Linked DNA regions of Arabidopsis thaliana. The protein of the gene in region 1 interacts with the protein of each later gene in a pairwise test. Each region holds a gene or a part of one and is shown on either strand. Other genes may lie near its edges.

What was found.
Region 2: the proteins of DWF1 (region 1) and AT3G54130 interact in binary tests that used the Arabidopsis thaliana proteins (3 or more experiments, as listed by UniProt).

The regions. Positions count from the first base shown.
Region 1 is NC_003074.8:6,874,778-6,887,214, forward strand, and holds DWF1 (cell elongation protein / DWARF1 / DIMINUTO (DIM)), read right to left. Parts: upstream 7,539-12,437; 5' UTR 7,435-7,538; exon of another isoform or gene 6,852-7,434; 5' UTR 6,840-6,851; coding exon 5,598-6,839; intron 5,502-5,597; coding exon 5,058-5,501; 3' UTR 4,747-5,057; downstream 1-4,746. Other genes in the region: AT3G19790 (uncharacterized protein), read right to left, coding at 160-663; AT3G19800 (E3 ubiquitin-protein ligase, putative (DUF177)), read left to right, coding at 1,376-1,489, 1,610-1,807, 1,910-1,999, 2,077-2,166, 2,251-2,331, 2,472-2,517, 2,624-2,694; AT3G19810 (BTB/POZ domain protein, putative (DUF177)), read right to left, coding at 2,979-3,390, 3,482-4,035; NTMC2T5.2 (Calcium-dependent lipid-binding (CaLB domain) family protein), read right to left, coding at 11,561-11,649, 11,729-12,221. UniProt on the Arabidopsis thaliana protein: Plays a critical role in the general process of plant cell elongation. Involved in the synthesis of campesterol, an early precursor of brassinolide.
Region 2 is NC_003074.8:20,037,681-20,049,141, reverse strand, and holds AT3G54130 (Josephin family protein), read left to right. Parts: upstream 1-4,561; 5' UTR 4,562-4,712; coding exon 4,713-4,967; intron 4,968-5,659; coding exon 5,660-6,247; 3' UTR 6,248-6,501; downstream 6,502-11,461. Other genes in the region: PTR1 (peptide transporter 1), read left to right, coding at 988-1,093, 1,487-1,704, 1,789-2,342, 2,423-3,257; AT3G54120 (Reticulon family protein), read left to right, coding at 7,009-7,078, 7,181-7,361, 7,426-7,637, 7,725-7,873; PUMP1 (plant uncoupling mitochondrial protein 1), read right to left, coding at 8,146-8,190, 8,295-8,381, 8,465-8,542, 8,626-8,730, 8,822-8,920, 9,003-9,136, 9,230-9,308, 9,409-9,624 and 1 more; AT3G54100 (O-fucosyltransferase family protein), read left to right, coding at 11,268-11,461. UniProt on the Arabidopsis thaliana protein: Interacts with key regulators of transcription and represses transcription. Acts as a histone-binding protein that regulates transcription. Acts as a deubiquitinating enzyme.

The DNA.
Region 1 (12,437 bases):
GAAGAAATGTTTAAACTGTAAGAATAACACTTGAAAATGTCTTCTAAACAAATACAACACAGAATTAGATATCTTCTTTTGAGATCATTCCTCTTGCAGATTACTTCAATAGGAAAACATTTTAATAAGCAAAAGCAAAGGTCAGAATCATAACAAAAGTCATTCATCTCTCTTTTTGCCAGTCTTGTTCTCTAAGTAGCAAATCTTATCCTCAGGATCAGAAAATGCCAAGAAGGCCTCTCTATGAGTAACATCAGCCTGAAAATGAGTCAACGATGCACGGTATAAAGGCGACCACATCCTAACACCAGGTAGATCATGGAGTGCCTTCATTGAATCAAACACAATACTAGTCTTGTTGGAATCTGAGGGTTGCTTATTGCTGGTTCGTAGAGCGCTAAGTGAAGGGATTCTAGCAGCAAGAATATCATCGAGTCCGTCTGTTAAATCATCATACATCTCATCATACCACTCATTAATCATTTCAGACATTAGAGAATCCACAAGGTTTTCTTCATCGCTTGATTCTTCCGATCCGCTCGCATCAGACATATCATCATCATGCTCTTCAGACTCTATAGAATCCAAACTGTTTTCCCCAACGCTTGATCCTTTCGATCCGCTTGCATGATCATTGTCAGCTTCCTCTTGAGAAATAACCATATTGAGTGAGAATCTACCAATTTAACAATTCAATGTTACAACAGCATACATATCTCTAACATAACATGGAAAATCAAAGGGGATTATTCAGAAAAAACAAAATCTGGGACTAGAATTCCATAATGAAAATCTCAAAAGCCGATTACCTGATTTTTTTCGGGAATGGTTGTCAATTCATCCTCTTGTTGTTGAAATCTGAAACGAGGAATTGGGAAGATGTTAAACTATTTGAGCAGAAACTGATTGTGTTGTATAGCAATCAACGCTAAAAGAGTAGATGAGTGACTAGAATGGAATCTAATGTTCGTTCGAATTACTAATAAGGACTCAAAATTCAAATCAAAACTCAGAGAAGCAAAATGTGGAAAAGGAGACGAAGAAGAAGATATATCAGATTACCTTTTCAGAGAAGCGATGGAGAGAAGCTTTTCTGGGTCCGAGGGTTTTAAGAATTGCGCAGGTCTCTTTTTGTGGGTTCCCAGATAAAGGTAAGGGTATTTTGGTCATAATCTCAGCTTACATACTTGTTTGACTTTTTTAGTATGACTTACGACTTTTGTTTCTTTTTTTGTAAATTTACTAATAATATAAGTATGAGAAGAAGACACGTGAAGCGCCAAAAGACTTGTGGGGAGTGTATACCGGATAAGGTTTGCATGGTCTCTAAGACCTCAGGTTCTTCCTCACAGTCCTTTCTAAAGAATCATCATCCATGGATGTACGTTGTTTGATCTCTCCAAATCTTTTGAACTCGAAGATTAAAGTTTCCGGCAATACTCATCACCTTCCCTTTTCTTCCCTCTCCAAGAAACACCAAGCTTCTTCCGTATGTTACTTCTTCTCTGCTTTCTCTACTTTTCTTTTTGCACTGCATGTGTTTTTTTTTGGTTCTGGGTTTGGATATGTAAAGAGTCCTCACGTTTTGGATCCAAACCCAATGTTTTAGCCGATACAGGCAGCCATTAATGGAGGAGGGAGCTCAAAAACAGTGAAGCGTCTGATCACTTTATCTCCTAGTGAAGGCAAATGGAATGGAAATTGGAAGACTCAGTACGATGTCTCTCTGCGTGATCTTCAACTCCAAGACCTTGTTGAAGATGGCCCTCCCAATTCCCGTGTCTCTGTCGACCTCTCTGTCCAAAGGGTAACTATCTTCTCCACCACTATGTTGTTGTGACAGTGATTGAATATTAGAAGCTGTCTTCTCTCTTACCTAATCAATCATTTAGTGTTGTTACTTGTCTAGCACGCGAGCATGGGCCTCTCAGTAGATGGAAGAATCATGACTTCTATCGCAAGAAAGTGCAGCATTTGCTCTTCTCTTTATCCTCGACTGGTAACTATTTCATTCTAAAGGGGTTTCTTCAAAAACCCTTTCGCAAGAAACTGTTTTGATGAAATATCTGTGACCAGATCGATACAAGTTTCACCGTCTGGATTTTGCCATCAAGCCGGGAAAATCGAGCTTCAACACTGCCAGAAATTGGCGGCGATGATCCTTCGGTGAGAGCCCTTAGAACATCATAAGCTCTCTATATATATTTTTGCATTTCAACAAGTGGAATGAATAAAAGTCTCTGTTGGCAGGTGATATATGTCAGACCTGGATATGAAGCTAACCTTGATTCCCTTGTGCAAGACACTATCCGCCTCACAACTTATGCTAAAGTAAGACTCTGTTTAAACTATTACCAAGTTTCATGGAATCCACAAGGCCAAAACCTTAGATCGATTATGCCCATCTCTTGGCTTTATAAATCTTGGTTGTGAAGTCTGATTGTTTCACTTATATTGTTGTTTGATTGTAGGATATATGCTCGGATTCCTGCGAAAAATCGGAACCAACACTGCACTGTAAGCAACATTCTGTTGGTTTTGTTTCTTTCCTATTTTCACATGACATGTTAGTAAAATATTCGAAAGGATTAAAGAGTTTTCGTTTTCTCAATTGCTTCTGCAGACGTTGGTCAGACAAATACAGCTTCTGTCGATAAGAGATGGTCAAGACTACTTGAACTTAAGAAGAAGTAGAAACCTTTTTATTCTTTGAATCTCTCTGTTCAATGTACTTCAAAGTCTTAAAAAGATTTTGATACTGTTCATATTCCAATATATACAAAATAAAAAACACATTTACAAGAATATGTAATGATTGATTCTAAATAAAAATCATATGAATGAGATAATGAAAACGTTATAGCTACTTAAGATTCACATTTGAACATTATTGTACCTGATTTTGAGTTTTATGACAGTAACACCAACAAGATGAAGATGTAAAAAGGAAAATACATACAATTATCGTTGAGTTGAGTTTAGTTCCTTAGTCCCTCTTTTTGTTGCATTTGCTCTCTAAGATTTCCGAGAGGTCCATATCCTTTATCCTTCTCTTCTCTGCCACAATCACATTTCCTCTTATTCAGATTCGCACCACACTTCAAGCACATTCCTTTACATGCAGAATCGCATATCGCAGTGATGGTGATTTCTAAATGCACCAAGTCTCTTATATGCTTTGAGATATCTATTTCTTTCACCTCAGGTGGAAAATGAAGCTTATCCTCCCAATCTATCCATGAATCATCATTATCATCATCATCTTCGCCTTCTTCTTTGTCATTACCGAATGTGAATCCTAGATCAATGACATCGGGTTCTTCAACTGGCTCTTCGGTTAGTAATAGCGAGAAGTTGGAGAAGATGCTCTCACCTGTTGACTCACCACATCTTCAAACACATAAGAGAAAACCCGTTAAATAACAAAGTTGATGCAATCACAATAAAGTAAAAAAGCTTCGATGAGTTCATAAGAAAGCACCTGTTGCAGCCGAGTGTGATAACAGTCCTGACAATTCCATCAAGTCTCAGCTTCTTCTTCTTCCTTATGACATCAACCGAAACTTGAACTGGTGTGCCATCTGGATAATCCTTGACATCTTTTGTCACTCTAAGTCCCATTGCAGAAGCTCTCTTCTTCGAGACATCTGTTGACAACCTTCCCAACCCAAGCCTCTCTAAGGTAGTGCAATATTCAACATGTGTAACTGAAGCATTTCTCCTATACATAACCGAACCTTCCCAAGGTGACCCAGTATCCTCAATTTCCTCCTGATCTTCCCAATCCATATCTATTGTGCTGGTCTCTGTAAAAGACTCCTGACTAACTAATATCCGACTCTTTGCTAGCCTAGGAAGCTTGATCGGTTCAGTGAACAAGTAACTGATATGCTTCCTAATACCGGTGGTAAAATTAGGATAGCCAGCGGGAGAAGATAAACTTAAGGTACATGTTTCGAGTTTCAGAAAACTTGGACGCGACTGTTTAGTCTGTGGCAAGGGAGCTACACAAGATAAAGAGCAAACCAGAGACATTTTCGTAGCAAAGGTGACAACAAGAGGCAATTTATCAAGCGTTTATCAAACAATCATGCTAAAATATGGTATAAAATCCAGCCAAATCCCAATAGGATTGGGTTTATCCAGCTTGAAACAGAGCACCTGCAAGAAACATTTGCTGATATAGTGTCAACAATAGAGAAAAGACAGAAAATCTTGAGAAGGGAAATAATAATCTTCAATTGTTTTTGAAAAGAATGAATTGGGTATCGAGACTTCACAGTTACATTCCAGTCAGAGCTAATGTAACTAAAGGAATTTGAGCTAGGAATTTGGTCGAACACCTTCTATGCACCATTTTATGTAGATAAAGGACAGACCTTTCCACTTCCAATTAACAGAGCCGCAAACATCATGACGGAGACGAAATCGAAAAACAAGCAAGTAACTTCGAATACAAAAGATACAACAAGAATTAATAAATCGAAATTACTTACCACTAACAAGTGCTTCAACAACGCTTTAGACGATCGACTCTGTAAAACTTCTTTCAGAAACAGAGCTCTTCTTACTCGGAAATGGCTGCTTGGGTTTATCCTAAAAAGTCTCACCCGGTCAACTTCGGTTCAAATACCGGTATTTCCAGGTTTATATCAAACCTAACCGCACCCCAATAAAACTAACAAAGTCGGGTTTTAGTGTTTTAGATTCACGTCGTGAATGATCTAAAGCCTAGTTGGTGGTGGTATAAAGAGAGAAGTTGAAATGATCTCTCAAATTGGTAGATCAATTAATTCATTACAGCAACATGCTTACATTGTGACAGTCAAGCAACACGATAAAACCGGAAACCTTCAATTTCATAGGCAAATCCAAAAGTTTTAAACTCTAAAATCCACTCAAACCAGAATGAGTCAAACAACAACAAGAAGCAAACAACAACAACAAGAGTCTTCAAGACACTAAAACTGAAATTAGGAAACAACAACATAACAGACACTACTAGGAATAACAATAATCATCCCGAGCCATTACATCAAACCAAGGCTTATTATTACTTAATCTGCCTCGGCATAAGCAGTTTCGAGATGAGCTTGTTCGGCTTCTCTAACTTCTTTCTCAGTCTTCCTTCCTTTCTTGGACTTGTAGTAAACACTCATGAACGTTCCAATAGCTCTATACTTCTTGCGGCACTCCTCATACAATTCACCATTAAACATTCTCCAGAAGCTCTTCTCGTCGAGCTCAGACACCGCGTACTGAGGCTGGAATCCATGGTTCTCTATCAGCCATTTCTCCATCCTACGCACTGCTTCTGATCCATCAAACTCTTCACCTCTTAGGACACAGCCAGGTGCGTAGTAGACTCCAACATCAGTGTACATCTGTGCATCTTCTGTGTCTCCTTGTCTGTTTTCGTACTCGAAGCCTGGCTCTGGGTAGATTTGGCCTTTGATTGGCTGCTTGAAGAGTTTGTGTGGGCAAAGCCAAATTGGATACACCTGAAAGAGAACAAACAATTCATGATTTTGTTAATAACATCAAAAGAAACTTTAACTAGAAGATGATCAATCATGAAACCGAGCTTTTAGTTTTACCTCCATTTCGCGGTGGACCCATTCGAGTGCATCGCCAACCTTGTAAAGAGGAACAAGCATATCCTGAATAACATGCATATCATGGTAATAGTTCCTGATAGCTTCACCTTGAGTGGCCTTAAGAAGAGAGACCTTTGGAGGCATCAACCAACCTAAGAGGTACCTAAACCAGAACTGATCACCAAATGGAAGAATAAGCTTCCCTTCCCAGTACAAGCACCTTGTGTGCCTGTGGTAGTATTCACGAGTTGGGATGTACTCAACAAACTGTCCCTTTTTCAGGGCGGTCTGCGCGTGCTGGTAGAACCACGGCTTGAACCACCATCCCACATTGTTGATTTTGTTCCCTTTCTTCTTTGCCTCTTCTTTAGATGCATATGTTCCAACCATCATCACTCCTTCCGTTGGATTGTAAACCATGCCTTCGACGAAATCCGGGATTTTCGACTTGTCACCGTCTTTGGGAGCAAAAGAATCAATGTAACCTTGAGCTAAGGCTTGAAGATCACCCTTGACTGGTATGTAAGTGAGTCTCATGTACTCCTTGACTTTAATAAGCCTGATCTCAGCAGCTACAAGGAGTCCAAGAGTTCCTTGCGACCACGGGATTGCGTAGTAAAGATCAGAATACTCATTATCCCTTGTGGCGCGGACAAGCTCTCCACCCGCAAGAACAATCTCGTAAGCCTCAACGGTATCAGCAAACAAACCGTAGATGTGAGAGCTTCCTTCAATACCATATCCATTGATAAGTCCACCAACGGTAAGGTCATCAAGCTCAGCAACAACAGCGAGAGACAGGTTCATTGGGACGGTAGCACGGGAAATCTGTCCCATGTTAACAAGAGGCTCCACTCTAGCAGTCATCTTCTCCTTGTTGATCTCAAGGATGTTACGGAACTCCCCCAAGTCAACCTCGAAATGCCGGGCTCTCTTGTAGTCAACGTTCCTCATTCCAACAGCGATCCAGGGCTTACGAGCAGTGCAGACAAGCCCGTCCTTGGAAGCATCCCTACCCTTAAGCCTTTTGATGACTTTCTTGACATTCTCGTCGTGTTCCTTCTGACGTTTCTCAAAGGACTTGGACTCTGACCACATGTCCCCGAGGTAGATGAGGAAGTAGAATGTGGCTGAGAATGGAAGGACGATGAAGATGACAATGATCCATCTGAACTTGACAAAGTAATCAACCCAAGTCTTCTTCCTCTTGGGCCTCACAAGCGGTGTCTGAAGATCCGACATTTCCTCTCCTCACTGCATCAAACCAAAAAGAAAATCAAATCAACCAGAGTTTCAAAATCCATCACTGTAAAAGTCAACAAGGCCTAAGAAGTGAGCATAAATCTACCAGAATGTCAAAAATACTAAAGATTAGTTTCTTGAATCCAAAAAGAGTATAATAAGCACACATAAACACATACGTATACACACATGTGTATCAGTGTATGTGTATGAAATAAATCTGTAAGAAGAAGATAGTGTGGAGTCCATGGAAACAGAGAGCTAGTGAACAGAGAGACAAAAAGACATGAAGTTATGTTCTGAAAGAACAAGAACACAGAAAATGGTTATAATCTTTAGATCTACACATCTAGTATTCCTACAAAGCCATCAAAGTCTGTTTTCTACCACCAAAATAAATAAATAAAAGTTGGTGAGCAAAGTTTGAAACTTTGTTTGAAATTCTCCAAGACTGAGATGATTAAAATTAAAAAACCCACATAGTTCACTAGTGCGTGCTATGAAACAACTATGAACCAAGTACTGAGAGATCTAACGACAGGAAATGATAAGTCAGCGACTGAGACAGAGAGAGAAAGAGAGGTAGAGAGAGTACCTGAAGAATCCAAAGGAGAGAGAGAGTGAGAGGATGAGATGTGAAAGTGTCCCCAAGAGTGTGAGAGCATTTGTCTTTATAATAAAACGTGATTCAAGCCAGCCTGCTTCACTTGCATTTTTCGCTCAAAACAAGGTATTTTTTATTTCCCATTTTTTTATATAATTTTAAAATAAAAAAGGTAATAATAACGCAAAAATATAGAAATTAAGAAATATATAATGTATATTTTTCATGGGTTTGTATAAGTGGTTTTTCATATTTCTAAGTTTCTTTGTTGTTATCGCAATTAAAAATTCGATGTTAGTTGTAATGTTGATAAATCACATGTGTTATATTTATGAGCAATTTTTTAGTTTATAATTCTGATGTAAGAAAATAAAAATAAATTGTTTTTACTTATATCAGTATTTAATATATTTTTACCAACTCTTTTAACATTTAGAAATTATATGTAAATCGAACCTAGAGCTTAATTAGACATATCTTCCAAAATATAATTTCTTACTTAGCAGTTAGCATATAAAAGGAATATGAGGACAAATTCTTTGTAGGGATATTTTTTCTGAAAAGAGTTTACTGCTATAAATAGGTAAAAGCAAATAAATAAAAAAAGGCAACAAATCTTAGCAGTTTAAATTTCTTTTAAATAGAAAAATATATCTTTCTTTTGGTATGTAAATCACAATAAATTACAGGAAGACATGTGCCCAATGAAGGAAATGTAATTGTCCAATTCGTTTTTTTTTTAAATGCATTTTATGGGTTGATTGTATTGATTTTTGTTTTCTAAATGCTTTTAGCGAAACAGTCCTCCTACATGTTTGTTGATGTACCTAAAGCACATTCCATCCTCGTGAGGTTACTAAGCCGACGATCTTATATATTGTTTATTGGCAAAAAGTTCATTACAACTTTTCTTATCATAATAGTTATTACAACAATCTTTAACATTTAGTTTTGATATGTTATGATTGAAGCAAAAAAAGCACTGCCTAAAATATCTTGAAAACATTATACATTATGAATGCTAATGAGAGTTCCTTATATCTTTCTCTCAACTCTTAAGGGATCTTCAAATGAGTGTTTTTTTTAAGCCAAAACAATTGTGAATTAGTCATTCACTTTCATCTTATTCAGATTACAATGTAGTATTTTAGAAACTAATGTGTAGTAAAAAATTTTATATAAAATGCCTCTTATTTATATAAAAAAAAAAACTACGGCTGTGATGAGAAATGTTTTCCCAAATCCCAATAGCCATGCTTTTCATCAAAATTCATATATGAAATCATTTGTATCATTATCAGTGCCTACATAATACAGTAATAAACACACAAACTATCACGTTATTTGGTGAAAAAGGCTCTCAATATATAATTCTGTTACTGTAACCAATTATTTGATTTCCACCTAAGTATTTTAATAGTTGATTTAGAAAAGCAAATAAAATCATGATTTATTTAGAAAAATGGTTACACTTTAAAGTAATGAAGTGCTCAAAAAGTTTTTTTTGTCGCCAAAAAGTAATTATTTATTTATTTGACATAGAAAGAAAAAAAAAATTACAGGGATGATGGCCTGTCTGAGAAAATATCCAGCTCTTGCAAAATCTCTCATAAAATATATTTACTCTTTAAAATATGCCAACTAATTTCTTACTCACATTTACAGCTACAAATCATTTTTTTGTAGTATGGAAAAATAAATGTCTATTTGGCGAATCACACCTTTTGACATTGACAGTTTGACGTCAGTGAAAATTTGGTTGACGCTTGACAAAGTTTTAAACCGTTACAAGGTCGTGTAATCACACCAATGTTTACATTACAAGAAACACCAATTTGTTTATATATATATCCAAATACAAAGACATTACTCTTTGGTCCAACGCCAAATAAACCCATGCGTCATTTCTGCATCAACAAAAACCGTCTTTGTCCATTCCATTAGTACCTAAAAAAGTGTGAAGAAGCCAGAGACAACAACCCACATAAATTATGATTTGTTAAGATTGAAGCGTATTATGACTAAACACTTCTCTTGAAGTAAAAAAATTAAAAAAAAAAAAAAAGGTGAAAGAAAAAGACAAAAGAGAACGGAGAAACCGAAGAGAGGAGAGTTGAAGATAACAAATCTATAAACGAGGACTGTCCTACTCCCCACATGTGCCTGACGTGATCTCAACTCCTTCACGTGATTTCTCTTCCTCATTTTTTGTAATTTTATTACTAATTCTCCATTTTTTCTCACTTCTTATTAATCCCTTTTTATTATTCAAATTTTTGTTTTCTGCCACTTCCATTTTATTACTATTCTTGCTAAAAGAGAATGGAAAACAAAATCACTTTGTTTAATGCACCCACGATCCAGTTTTTATTTTAAATTGTTGTGCCTTCTGTTTGATTGCATGTACTTAACTTCTTATAATAAGTGTAGATCTACTCTTAACGTGCAATTAACTAATAGTCTAATACATCGGGGACACGTTCAATTGTTGGTAGCATTCTTGTTTAGCATTATATATAATCCATGATTTTAGCAATACCAATCAATCATTCCAAAGACAGATCGTTTCGTTTTCAGTGGCTTTTCATTAGACGATACATTGTTACCCTACTCAAAAACTTAACTCAAATGGGTTACTTCAACAATCAATATTGAAAAGAAATCACTTCTCAACAATAGATTAAGAAAACGACCAGAAAGGAGACTTTCTTGCGCCTTTGTCTTGGTTCCCTGAAATTAACCATAGTTCAGTCTTAGTAACATCGAACAAAATTGCTAAACTGATCCTAATGGGGAAAACGATGCATGCATACAAAACTGTTACACAATACTGTAAATTGCTAAACGCATACACCAAAAAAGAAGCAATCATAGCCTATAAACAGCGTTCTTTGCCTTCGTTACAGGTTGTGAAACACTATTTCTAACCAAATATTGCAATGAATTTTCAAGCAAAATATTGTGAGTTAGATAGGCGATGGGCTAATAAGTAGGAGTTGATTGGGAAGAAACGATATTAGATATTTGAGAGTTATGAAGAGTTTAACCTCTCCCTAACATGATCTAGCAAGACAAAGTTTAATAGCCAGGAAACCAGCAAAACATTGCAAAAAACAGAAAGAAGATGAATGTACCTTGTTTAGGCTCTGCGCATCGATATCTCCATGAACTTTTTGTTCCTCCTCCAGAAAGGCATATCCATGGCAGAATATTAAAGTTGTTGTAGCTAACAATATGGAAAAAACTAAAACCAAGGAATAAAAAAGGCCAAGTGAAAAACTCATTACTACTTCCACCTAGAATTCTTGGAGAACACTTTTCTCAATCCTAAAGTTAGTGACTGCTAATATCAGGTGTCTTCGTGCAATGTGTTATGGAATCCCTTCAGAAAAAGAAAAAAAATCTTTATTTGAATAAAATATTCGTGTACTATAACAAACCATTGGTATACACGTTGATCACAGTTGTAAGAGATTGGGTGAAATGGACCCTAAAACTTTCTGCCGCCAATAAGCGCCCCTCTTCTAAATGCATACAACAGCACTAGAATGTAAACACAAAACTGAGACCTCGTTATACGCCATCTCTGAGGCCGAGAAGAGAAAATTAACCAACCTGCCATTACATAAAAGGCTTTGGTCAGTCAATCAACAATGGGACACTAACAAATGCAAATAGCAGAACAGGACTATGCCACATTGTATAGAAGACTCACCTGACCATTGCCAAATCGCACAATCTTTCCAAAACAATACATTGGTTTTTAACTTTCTAGCGTAAATTGTATGCTAGGTACTCAGTATGTCTCAATTACAGAAAATTAGGTTCATCATTTTCAACTTACATAGTTTTATCTAAGTGACACCTATTTTCGAGTAACGGTATAAACATAATAAGCCAAAACAGAAACTACACCCAGCATAAATCCAGCGAAAAACAGTAAAGTGATTCCAAAAAGATTGCAAGGCCGATCCTCAACTATATGCAGAGATTCCATACATATATTCAAGTGAAGTCAACTGATATTGGCAACCATAGGCATAACTTACAAAGTTTTCATTTCGAGGTTCATACTTACTTTGGCAAAAGAAATCGTAATTATCCATACAACACCATGTCACGGGTTGAAGAAACTTGAGCCGCCCATGTTGATAGCAACGAGCACCAGTACAGAAGTGATTACACCGAACCACAATAATGCTAATCCTGAAATTAACAAAGCTTAATAGTTTTAGACAAAGCAACCATAGAAACAAATTCATCATAAAATAGAGCCTCGATATACCTCCATTATTAATAGAACCTCTATCAGATTTCGCATTTTTCACTTCCAAATCTGATACGTCCCCATTGCCAGCATCTTTTGGTCGAGATTCTGAGTCCGCCCCAGACATTGAAGGAACAGGTGACACGCTTGATTCACCATCATCAACTTTATTGTTCCCAGTTTCTGATGAAACTATGCCTTGAAATTCCTCGCTCAAAATCAATGCAGACAACACGTTCATAAATGACTCTTGACCAATATCATCTGAAGGAATCTTGTCATTCTGCACAAATGAGCTAGGTTCTTCCGAATCAGACATTTCATCATCGGAAGCATCTGCATATATGGCTTTTGCGTTGCGTTTATCATCTTCTTCATCCTCCACGTATGCTTTGTATGTAAGCCGGAGTAGTATTTCTCCAGTAGATCCCTTTCCGAACAAACTCCAACCGCCTCGTAAACTAACAAATCTGTCTGTAGGAACCGTATCTGGCAGTGATTCAAGGTCAACCTGGATGTATAATCAAAGTAGTAAGGTTATGTAGACAGCAAATTTTCTATTCAGCACTATTTTCCTGGTAATTTATGTAGAGATTATAGTGAAAAAGTTATCAGAGCAGGGCTGACTACTCAACCTACAGCACCAATAAATAATTATGTGTTGTCAGGTTTTTGTGCAGAAACATGTGAATTGGTTGCTTAGTAGCTGAAACTGGAAGTGAATACA
Region 2 (11,461 bases), about 13 Mb from region 1:
ATCAAATGGATTTAGACTGAACCACCAAATTGAATATTGAATCTAGTGATGTTTTTGGCTTTATTTTCACATATCCAAAATCAAACATCAACCAAAACCAAATTTAATAAACCTAACTATTTTTTTTTTTCAAAATCGACAATCTGATATTTAGAGTATGAACACAAGTTTCAAATAAAAAAAGAAAGAGTATGAACTCAATTTTATAAGAAAACTCCAAATCATCTTATTGACCAAAGTGTTTGTATTCACACTTGTATCTTTCTTGTTTTGAGTAGGAGTTCTTTCTTGTTATCTTTCTGGTAATGTCAATTCCGTAATATCGGATAAAAAACAAAAAGAGTCCACTAAAGTTTTGGTGGATGATTAACACGTCCTTCGATATTGATCTATTTACACTTTGGAGTCAAAACAAGATAATATCAAAATCTGATAGCACAATAGGCCTTGCGGCTCTAACTGAAATATACAAAAACTCAAAGGGTTAAACTGCAAACATGAGAAGAAAAGTGAGCAACGCTCCTTTCTATTTCCTTGGATATAAAAGCTGTACGGGACCAGAGCTCTGCAAGTCTTTTTTATAAGCTCATGCTCATTATTACTCCGACAAGTGCCGTGTAATTCCTCGCCCTCGGCTACTCTTTTCTCTTCTTGCCTCTCGTCTCCGCCGCTGATTCAGCTGCCGCCGACAAAGGTTTCTCCCTTTTTTCTAAGTCTTTTATGAGTTTTCCTTTCGTTACAAGTTACAACCATAACCTCATCTGGTCACACATAAACTATAATTTCAGAGCATGAAAATTTCGTACTTGCTTGCTTCATCTGCATATTTCGATCTAAGCATCTACTAGTCAATTTCTTTCACGTATATTTTTAAGGGTTTTCTCATAACCTTATACCTGAAGTATGGATCTCTAAATTGGGGATCTTTAGGTATGTGTTTGGTACATCTTTCTTGAAAAAGCTAAACTATTTTTCTTTATTAGGAATATGGAAGAAAAAGATGTGTATACGCAAGATGGAACTGTTGATATTCACAAAAATCCTGCAAACAAGGAGAAAACCGGAAATTGGAAAGCTTGCCGCTTCATTCTCGGTAACGTTCTAATCGTTTCACCAATCTTTTTCTTCATTATTGCCGTATAGGACCTGGACCAGCTTAAGTAATGGCCTCTCGTGTCCCCTGTTTTTTAAGGTCCACTAAAAACATTTACATGTAAATAATAAATGTAATGATTAAAAAGAGATTATATACGATTAAAAGCAAATTGAATGATAGAGAACAAATAAAATTTAAAATATTATTGGAAATGTTTAGTTTTGTAGGGTGATCACTATGAAAAAAGAGTTATAAACCTAAAATCTGCTCTGTTTTCTTCAAAAAAATTGTCTAAATAAAGAAAGGGCCATTATATTTTTTTATTATATAGCTTGGGCCCTGATTGGATCTATCCATATAAGATTAACCAGTTTTATGTGTTTTGTGTAGGAAATGAGTGCTGTGAAAGATTGGCCTACTATGGCATGGGCACTAACCTTGTGAATTATCTTGAGAGCCGTCTGAATCAAGGCAATGCTACGGCTGCAAATAACGTCACGAATTGGTCTGGAACATGTTATATAACTCCTTTGATTGGAGCCTTTATAGCTGATGCTTACCTTGGACGATATTGGACTATTGCAACTTTTGTTTTCATCTATGTCTCCGTGAGTTTTACTTGTTTCTTATCTTTTGGTTAAAAATGTGAATCTTTTGGTTAAAACTAATTAAGTTTGTTTTTTCTCTTGAAGGGTATGACTCTTTTGACATTATCAGCTTCAGTTCCTGGACTTAAACCAGGTAACTGCAATGCTGATACTTGTCATCCAAATTCTAGTCAGACTGCTGTTTTCTTTGTCGCGCTTTATATGATTGCTCTTGGAACTGGCGGTATAAAGCCGTGTGTTTCGTCCTTTGGAGCTGATCAGTTTGATGAGAATGATGAGAATGAGAAGATCAAGAAAAGTTCTTTCTTCAACTGGTTTTACTTCTCCATTAATGTTGGAGCTCTCATTGCTGCAACTGTTCTCGTCTGGATACAAATGAATGTTGGTTGGGGATGGGGTTTCGGTGTTCCAACAGTCGCGATGGTTATCGCGGTTTGCTTTTTCTTCTTCGGAAGCCGTTTTTACAGACTTCAGAGACCTGGAGGGAGTCCACTTACTAGGATCTTTCAGGTTATAGTAGCGGCTTTTCGGAAGATAAGTGTTAAGGTTCCAGAGGACAAGTCTCTGCTCTTTGAAACTGCAGATGATGAGAGTAACATCAAAGGTAGCCGGAAACTTGTGCACACAGATAACTTAAAGTAAGAAACTAAAGTTTGAATCTTTATCCTAACTTCAAAAATACTCTGTTTTCAAATCTAAAGTTTTGAAAACATCTCAGGTTTTTTGACAAGGCAGCGGTTGAGAGTCAATCTGATAGCATCAAAGACGGGGAAGTCAATCCATGGAGACTATGTTCTGTTACTCAAGTTGAAGAACTTAAGTCAATAATCACACTTCTTCCAGTTTGGGCCACAGGAATAGTCTTCGCCACAGTGTACAGCCAAATGAGCACAATGTTTGTGTTACAAGGAAACACAATGGACCAACACATGGGAAAAAACTTTGAAATCCCATCAGCTTCACTCTCACTTTTCGACACTGTCAGTGTACTCTTCTGGACTCCTGTCTATGACCAGTTCATTATCCCGCTGGCAAGAAAGTTCACACGCAATGAACGAGGCTTCACTCAGCTTCAACGTATGGGTATAGGTCTTGTGGTCTCCATCTTTGCCATGATCACTGCAGGAGTCTTGGAGGTTGTCAGGCTTGATTATGTCAAAACTCACAATGCATATGACCAAAAACAGATCCATATGTCGATATTCTGGCAGATACCGCAGTATTTACTTATCGGTTGTGCAGAAGTTTTCACCTTTATAGGTCAGCTTGAGTTTTTCTATGATCAGGCTCCTGATGCCATGAGAAGTCTCTGCTCTGCTTTGTCGTTGACCACGGTTGCGTTGGGGAACTATTTGAGCACAGTTCTTGTGACGGTTGTGATGAAGATAACGAAGAAGAACGGTAAACCGGGTTGGATACCGGATAACTTGAACCGAGGCCATCTTGATTACTTTTTCTACTTGTTGGCAACTCTCAGTTTCCTCAACTTCTTAGTGTACCTCTGGATTTCAAAACGCTACAAATACAAGAAAGCTGTTGGTCGAGCACATTGATCAAGAAACTGGTGTGGAAGATATTTGGAGTTAACAGTATTTGTTTGAAAAGTGTTTTGCTTGTAAATGTTTTTTGTATGTGGTCTAGTTGTTGTTGGTGTGTTAGGTTTGTTTTGGTTTTGCTTATGTATTTCTGAATACTTCCAGTCTTCCACTTATATGTAAAAGGCTATTGGTAACTATTTTATGAGCTTTTTGCTTAAAGCTTTTTGACCGTCTGATAATATGTCCTCCTATATTTTGCCATTGCTCTTAAGAAACTTATTATATACATTGGAAGTTATAAGCAATAAGCTGGGAAATAAAATCAAAAACTAAACAACAGCATGGGAAATCTTAACAAAAAGCAAAGCACATAGGATCCTATTGTCAATACATATGTAAACTTACTACTAGACATTAAACAAAGAGATCAAGTATTTTCTTCTGTTTCTTTGAAGATGTCTTTACTTTTGACTATATATCTGAACTGTTTGGAAAATGCTCAAGATCAGGATGCATAAGGAAGCCCCCTTGGCTTCTTGGAGGTTGTCTAACAAGATTGAGACAAGCAAGCGTCAAAAACAGATTTTGATTCTGGGGTTTATTTGTTCAGTAAAACCCATGGTTTATATATATATAGTCAGAAACAAGCTTTTTATTGAGCTCAACTATATGCACATAGAAAAAGAGAAAGTTTTTTTGTCATTTTACGAATGTGGTGGTGCGATGAAGCCAGGTTTGGTCACTAAATGAGCGGAAGCGGAAATAGCCAGCAGGACTATCTGGAAATGAAACCAAACCTAATCATTTAACAAAGTATAATCAACTCTAGCCTTGCAATTATATGGCTAAGAAGGAAAAATTTAGACCATAATAAGAGTTTAGAACAAACAGGTAGAAGTAGTAGATGTATTACCTTGATGAAAGAATCAGAGGGCGTAAAAGCTTATACAGAATCTCATTCTTTAAATCTGTCACTAACTTATCTAAATTCTTAAACTGTTCACGGACATTGCTGCTAGTGCTCTCAGTAGTATAATTCCTAACTCTGTATTAGTGCTCTCAGACGTGGTTATTACGAAATGCAGGCATAAACCAACCCGATCATACCCATCACATTATCAGAAGTCGCCATCAAAGAGATCACCAGAAATCTTGGGAAGCAAGGAACCTAAGTTGGTCTGTCAATTTTGAGATAATGGGCCTATCTCAAAACAGTATCGGGCTCGTCTGCAAAATAAGAAAAAGGCCTAGAAAGTCGGTTATTACACGTGGCATCCTTTTATTGTATATTTACTTTTCCGTCCCTTACATTTTCTTATTTAAATAATCTGTTAACTTGCTTCTTCTTCTTCTTTCTTCATCTTCATCTTCATCTTCGCTTCACAATCTCTTTGAGACTTTTGCATCGGAGCAATAATAATATATTCATCGCAAAATCAGTGAATTTTGATATTCAAATCTTAATCGGCGATGGAACGAACAAGCAACGGAGGAATGTTGTATCACGAGGTTCAAGAGTCAAATCTGTGCGCCGTACACTGCGTCAACACGGTGTTGCAAGGGCCTTTCTTCTCTGAATTCGATTTGGCTGCCGTCGCCGCCGATCTAGACGGGAAGGAGCGTCAGGTTATGCTTGAAGGTGCTGCCGTTGGAGGTTTTGCTCCCGGCGATTTCTTAGCTGAAGAGTCGCACAATGTTTCCCTCGGCGGCGATTTTAGTATCCAGGTACGAATTCGCGATGAAATTGATAAATCTTGAGTTGCATTCAACATTTATATATTGTAAAGCCTTTTTGTTATTGTGTTGTTGGAAGTTTAGGCAAAATTAGGGTTTCGATTTTATGGTGCTTTTGATTGCTGTGTTTATGCTGAAGTGATAAACTTTTGAATGGTTGGATTCGTTTTTAGATAGATTCAAGAAGAATTGAGATCAGTAATGGTGTGAATTTGCGATCTTTACTTTGGGTTAAAACTCATTTGTTGAAGGCTAGTTTCATTGTGCGAACATTGCTATGCTGATAAATGGAGGAACTTGAGATGATTTTTTTTATCTTGGGACTCAATTGTTTTGGATATGTTAGTTATTAGTGAGGTTCTGTATATTCAATTATCATCTTTTGTTTCTTGGATAGCTTTAAACCGAGTTGGTTGATAACTTGATATTTGATTAGGTTGCTACAAAAGTCAGGTTTGATTGCAAGATTTATGTATTGAGATTCAAGGGTATAGTATGGTGTTTTACATCACATTTTTAGATATCTAAAATTAAAGCTATTTTAACGGATTACGTTGAAGTTGGATGCGGATAAAACACTGCAAACAGAGGGTTTATGCGATTGGTGTAGCATTTTAATCTTGCAAAGTTGATCTAGTCTTTGCTTATTCGTTTAACTGAGAATGCTTCTGTTTGATTGACAGGTCTTGCAAAAAGCTTTGGAAGTGTGGGATCTACAAGTAATTCCACTCAATTGTCCAGATGCAGAGCCTGCGCAGATAGACCCTGAGCTTGAAAGCGCCTTTATCTGCCACTTGCATGACCATTGGTTTTGTATAAGGAAAGTGAATGGCGAATGGTATAACTTTGATAGTCTCCTTGCTGCCCCGCAACATTTATCGAAGTTCTACCTTTCTGCGTTCTTAGACTCTCTCAAAGGCGCAGGATGGAGTATCTTCATAGTGAAAGGAAACTTCCCTCAGGAATGTCCCATGTCGTCTTCTTCTGAAGCTTCCAATAGTTTCGGGCAGTGGCTTTCTCCTGAAGACGCAGAGAGAATAAGAAAGAACACGAGCTCAGGTTCTTCTGCCAGAAACAAGAGAAGTAATGACAATGTTAATCAACAAAGACGGAATCAGGCATTGTCACGTGAGGAAGTGCAGGCTTTTTCAGAGATGGAAGATGATGACTTGAAGGCAGCAATTGCAGCAAGTTTGCTTGATGCTTCTGCTGCTGAGGCCAATCTCGGAGCTGTGGGCACTTCTGAAAAGGAAACTGAGAAACAAAAGTAGCAGAGAAAATAGAGAACAAGTGTTATTGATGGAGGTGGTGGGATATTCACTTTTGTTTCTTTGTTTTGGTTTGTTATCAAGAGTTATCAACAATTTTACATACAGAACAGAGAAAGAAAAAAGCTTACATCGAAAGATAGAAAACAGAGGATAATAAATGGTTTGTGGAATTGTTTTTGTTTGATTTTTTTACCATATTAAATTCTTCTGACAATCTTAAATTGAGGATAAAGATTCGACCTTTTCGAATTCATAGGAAACTACATCTGAAAAGGGTACATAAATTACTTCAGTTGACTAAAAGTAGATGAATGACCAATTTAAATGTGTTCTATGGAAAATATAAAAGGATGGTGTAAAATTTGATTCATCTCTAAGTACAATCTGGCGAACTTTTACAGTTTGAAAAAAACAAGAAGGATAACACTTTTAGGCTGGAAATAAAAACATCGAGAGGACAACAAACACCTTCTTTTTCCCTAAACAGAGCATAGCCTTTGAATTATTAATTAATTATTTGTATATTCAAAGTTGATGGCTTTGATGATGATGGTGATGACCCAACTTTAGTCTCTTCTTCACTTTTTATTTTTACTTTCTTTGTGATACATCAGGTTCCTTCGATTCGAGCCTTTAGGATTTCCTTTCACATAATGATCTGTTTCTGACATTCAGAGAAAGATATACATATCTGGGTTACTTTTGGGATCTGATCATCTGAGGAAATCTGAATCCAAGTTTGCTCTGATCTTTCTTCTCAAATGAGTTCTTCTTCGGACAAGTTGTTCAACAGAGACAGGACAATACATGAGATTCTGGGAGGAGGCATTGGTTAGTGAATACATTTCTTTACCAAATCCAAAACTTATAAAAGCTAGGTGATCTCTCACCTCTATAGCCTTTTTTTTTTCTTGTTATGAAATGAATCTGCAGTTGCAGATGTGATGCTGTGGAGGAAGAAGAATGTGAGTGTTGGTATAGTTACAGTGACAATAGCTTCATGGATGGTGTTTGAGGCATTTGCTTACACTATCTTTACTCTTATTTCAAGTGTTCTTCTTCTCTTGCTCTCTATTCTCTTCCTCTGGTCCAAATCTGCTTCCATTCTCAACAGGTATATTAATATTCACTTGTAACTAATATTACTTCATTTCTGATTCAATTTCTTGGCTCTTCAGGCCATCACCGCCGTTACCGGAGTTTCAAATAAGTGAAGCGATGGCGGAAGAAGCTTCGATATGGTTACGTATTCATGTGAACAAGCTACTCCAAGTTTCGCATGACATTGCAATGGCAAGAGACTCAGAGTTGTATACCAAAGTAGCAGTGTCACTGTTTCTTCTCTCATTGATCGGAAGTCTCATGGATTTTCAGACACTTTGCCACACCAGTAAGTAGATATTCTAAAACTCCTATAGACTTGGAATGCTTTTGAGCTGGATATTCATTTTGTGGTTGTTCTTGGTTAATTTGGCAGGCGTTTTGGTGGTTATGACGGTTCCAGCTTTCTATGAGAGATATGAGGATTACATTGTTGGCTCTATTGAGTTTATCTGCAACAAAACTAGAGAGCTTTACCTTAGACTCGAGATATGGGCTAATCCGGAAAATAAGAAACTGAGCTGAGATGCTGTCACCTCTTTCTTCTTCAGGAGTTTCTTTTTCTGATTTTTCTCGGTTTTGTGGAAAGAAAGGAGAAAAATGTATGATTTTTGATAAATGTTGGATGGTACAGCCAATATATGAGCAATCCACAGAAATTTTATTTCACAGTTTTACTCGAAAACTGAATCTCTATTCCGAAAACAATATTCGACCAAGTTCTGGCCTCTCTCAATCACCGAAAATGAAGAAGAAAACAATGTTGCTCTTATTCCCTCTGCTTAAAACTATGTGTCTCAGTTTCTTTTGGACGCATCGAGTTCCCGGACATACTTCTTTGCCTGGATTAGAGTATTAAGAACCCGGATTAGAAAATGAGAAAGAAGACTTTGCGTGACCGATTCGAATGCGATTGCGATAAAATAAAAATTCTATCAGTTGTTACCTGTTCGAGGGTCAAAAACATGATTACGTTCCATGAGCCAAGGCGTCCAAAGTTGGGGATGAAACCCTTGTAAAATGCCATAGGACCCTGTAGAGGAAACCGTAAAGAGTTTGTAACATTTTCTGGGTTATATCTAGAACAATGGAGGTATCAGAAGCAGAGTTGCTTACGTCGCTCTTCAGAGTTTTGACGAAGCAGTCAATGGTGCCCTTGTAAGCACCAGAATCTCCCATCATTCTTGACTTAACCTGCCACACAACAAGATTTAAGTAGACAATCAGGAAACGTGGTGAATAAACTCAAGGTTCAATGTCATGAGTAAATACTTTACCACGTCGACAGGAGAGCCGATGCAGACAGCAAAGAATCCTGCTCCCAGTCCAGATAGAATATGTGTGACAACGTTGTCAGTGAAACCCGGAATCTTCAAGATCGTCTGAACACAAAAAAAAAAAGGAATGTTGGTTGCTTCAAATATCAGGATCTCTTATTTAGAAAGAGAGACAGAGAACATATTAGTTTCATACCTCTTTCACTTGATCGTAACTCGCTAATTCAGCAGCATTGATAATAGCGTTTCTTGCTACGTTAGGTCCAAGACCAGTCCAAAGAGCTCGGACTCCTTCCTGTCAGAGCCACATTAATAAGATATGAAGTAGAGTTGAAGCAACTTATGCACAATCTCAACTTCCAAGTCGGGATAACTACCTGTCTCACAATTGTTGAATAAGCATTCAGCGCTCCAGAATACCGTCTTGGCGCACCTGCAGCTAGTTTTCCTTCGGCCTGAAGCCTAACTTTCACAAGATCAGTGGGATTTGCTACCATGATACCCAGTGCACCTGAGAGTTAGACAACAAAAACAGCCCAACTAAGTGATAAAGAGGAAATATATATTACGTGTTTTTTCTAAGCTGGTCTATCGTTATGCTCACCTGTTGTCAAACCAGCAAGAATTTTCTTGCTCAATGGAACATCACCTACAAAGTCTTTTCCAACATACAAGTTTTTCACCTGAGTAGAATAAATTGGTTAAGGCTTTAAGTAGTAACTAGGAAAACACTGAGTTTAAGCACTTTTCTGGAGCATGAAAGAAGAAGAATTTGTAACCCACCGGCTCATACATTCCAATCCTAAGACCTCCAAATAGGCATTGACGATGCAATCCAGGTACAACACCTTTCCATAGTGAACGTAACCCTTCTTCCCTTGCTATGGTACCAACAGTTCCCAACAATCCTCGATATTTAGGCAGAGTAACATCACCAGCAAGAGCAGACTTTTGGAGCTGAAGCCTAACTTTAGCAGTGTCCAATGGAATTGTGCATACCTGGTCCAGAGAGTTTAATTGCATAAGAACAGAATTATCTGACGAAACAACACAGCCAAAGAGAAGATACATGTTGTTCTGAGGATAATTAAACATTATACAGTTGCGTTGCATAGCAATCACAATGATCAAATAGATTCCATTTTCAAGTCTCATAATCATTTCAATGTTTCGCAAAATCATATCTAAAGCATAAATCAACAACACTACACATGCCAAAATTCAATTTCTAGCCACAGATCTGACCGATTATTCCGAGATCAAATCATTTCTATCGGAATTACGTAATCTGGAGAAACACTATAGAAGCTAAAATCAAAATTCTCCAGCTATACGATGATAAAGACAAAAAAGACAAAGATCAACCTGATCAGAACTTCACAAATACCAACGAAATTCGAAAATACATTTCCGCGTATAGCCAACAAAGTCTAGATCGCGACACACATTTCTCGAACGAACAAATAGTTTTCCGGTACAATCGAAGCATACTCAGCGATAAGAAAAATGGAGTTAAAAGAGATGAAAAATTGAGGAATCCGGCGATTACCTCGCCGACGCAAGCAGCGAAGGCACTGCAGGCGAAAGTTTTGGGCAAGGAAAGGTCGGATTTACCAGCCGCCACCATCTTCGATCCAGAAAACGCGAATTAAAGAGAGGAGGTTAGGGTTTCGAAATCGAAGAACAGAGAAGAGATAATATCGGGAAGAGGGACGACGACGATTACGGCTAAAGCAACTTGGCCTCGAGTAGTGTTTCAGTTATAGAAAAGATCGTCCCTCTCTCTCTCTCTCTGCGCGCTACGAAATGAGAAAGGAGTGGGCGCTTTACTTATTTATACACACGTGTGTGACGACCTGTTTTGTTAAATAGTATCATCCATCGATTATGTTGCTTTCACTGTCTGAAGAAAATTCCCAGTCAAATAAATGACACAGCACCACGCTGGATCGAATTTACTTTTACTAACTACCTCTCTAAATAATTTCATTTCTTTTTAATCTCTAATCCGATTTTTTTAAGTTCTAATAATTCCATTAGTTTAACATCGTGAGAGGTCGAAGTTTTGTATATTTGGTACAAAGTTGATTAGCTTTGTAGCAGTGGCAATAAAGTCAGTGCGTCATCTTCTAGGTCTACTTCACATCTTCGTCACAATGCAGAGTGCCCTCGATGATAAAAAGTTTAAGTATCATAAACTTAATCATCATAGGTTAGTATCTCTTAGCTATTTCAAAAGAACACGTTAATCACTCTTTTGCCTATATTTGTTTAATCTAAACGATATGACAAATTATATTTATACACTAACATCCAAAAAACTATTCATATAAAAAGATGTGCTACAAACGTGACAAACTCTTGAAAATTATCCATTCACATCATACATAAAAAATGTAAAACCTAAACAAAAAAAATGATTAGAACAGTCACATAAATATATAATTAGACACACTGGCGAATATAAAAAATTCTGAAAACAAAAACTCAGCTTCGGCGAATTTCACGGTGACGGTGACTATACCAGAAGATACATACATGGTCAACTACTTCCTCCAAAACCTAAAAATCAACCCTCTCTCTTCTTTCTCTATCTCTTTCCTTTTGTCTAATCTTCAATTCCCTATTTCACCGGCGACGATATGTCAGTCGTCGGAGCGATTAACCCCGTACCAATTGCACCCACCACTCGCCGCCGTGTTGGCGATTCTCTAGACGTTATCTCCGAACGACCCTCGAATTCATCTGATTACTGCAATACAATTAACCAACCCATCGTTGGATCAACAGATTTAGACGGAGGAGATGCGACTGGTCAAGACTCGTCACCATCTTC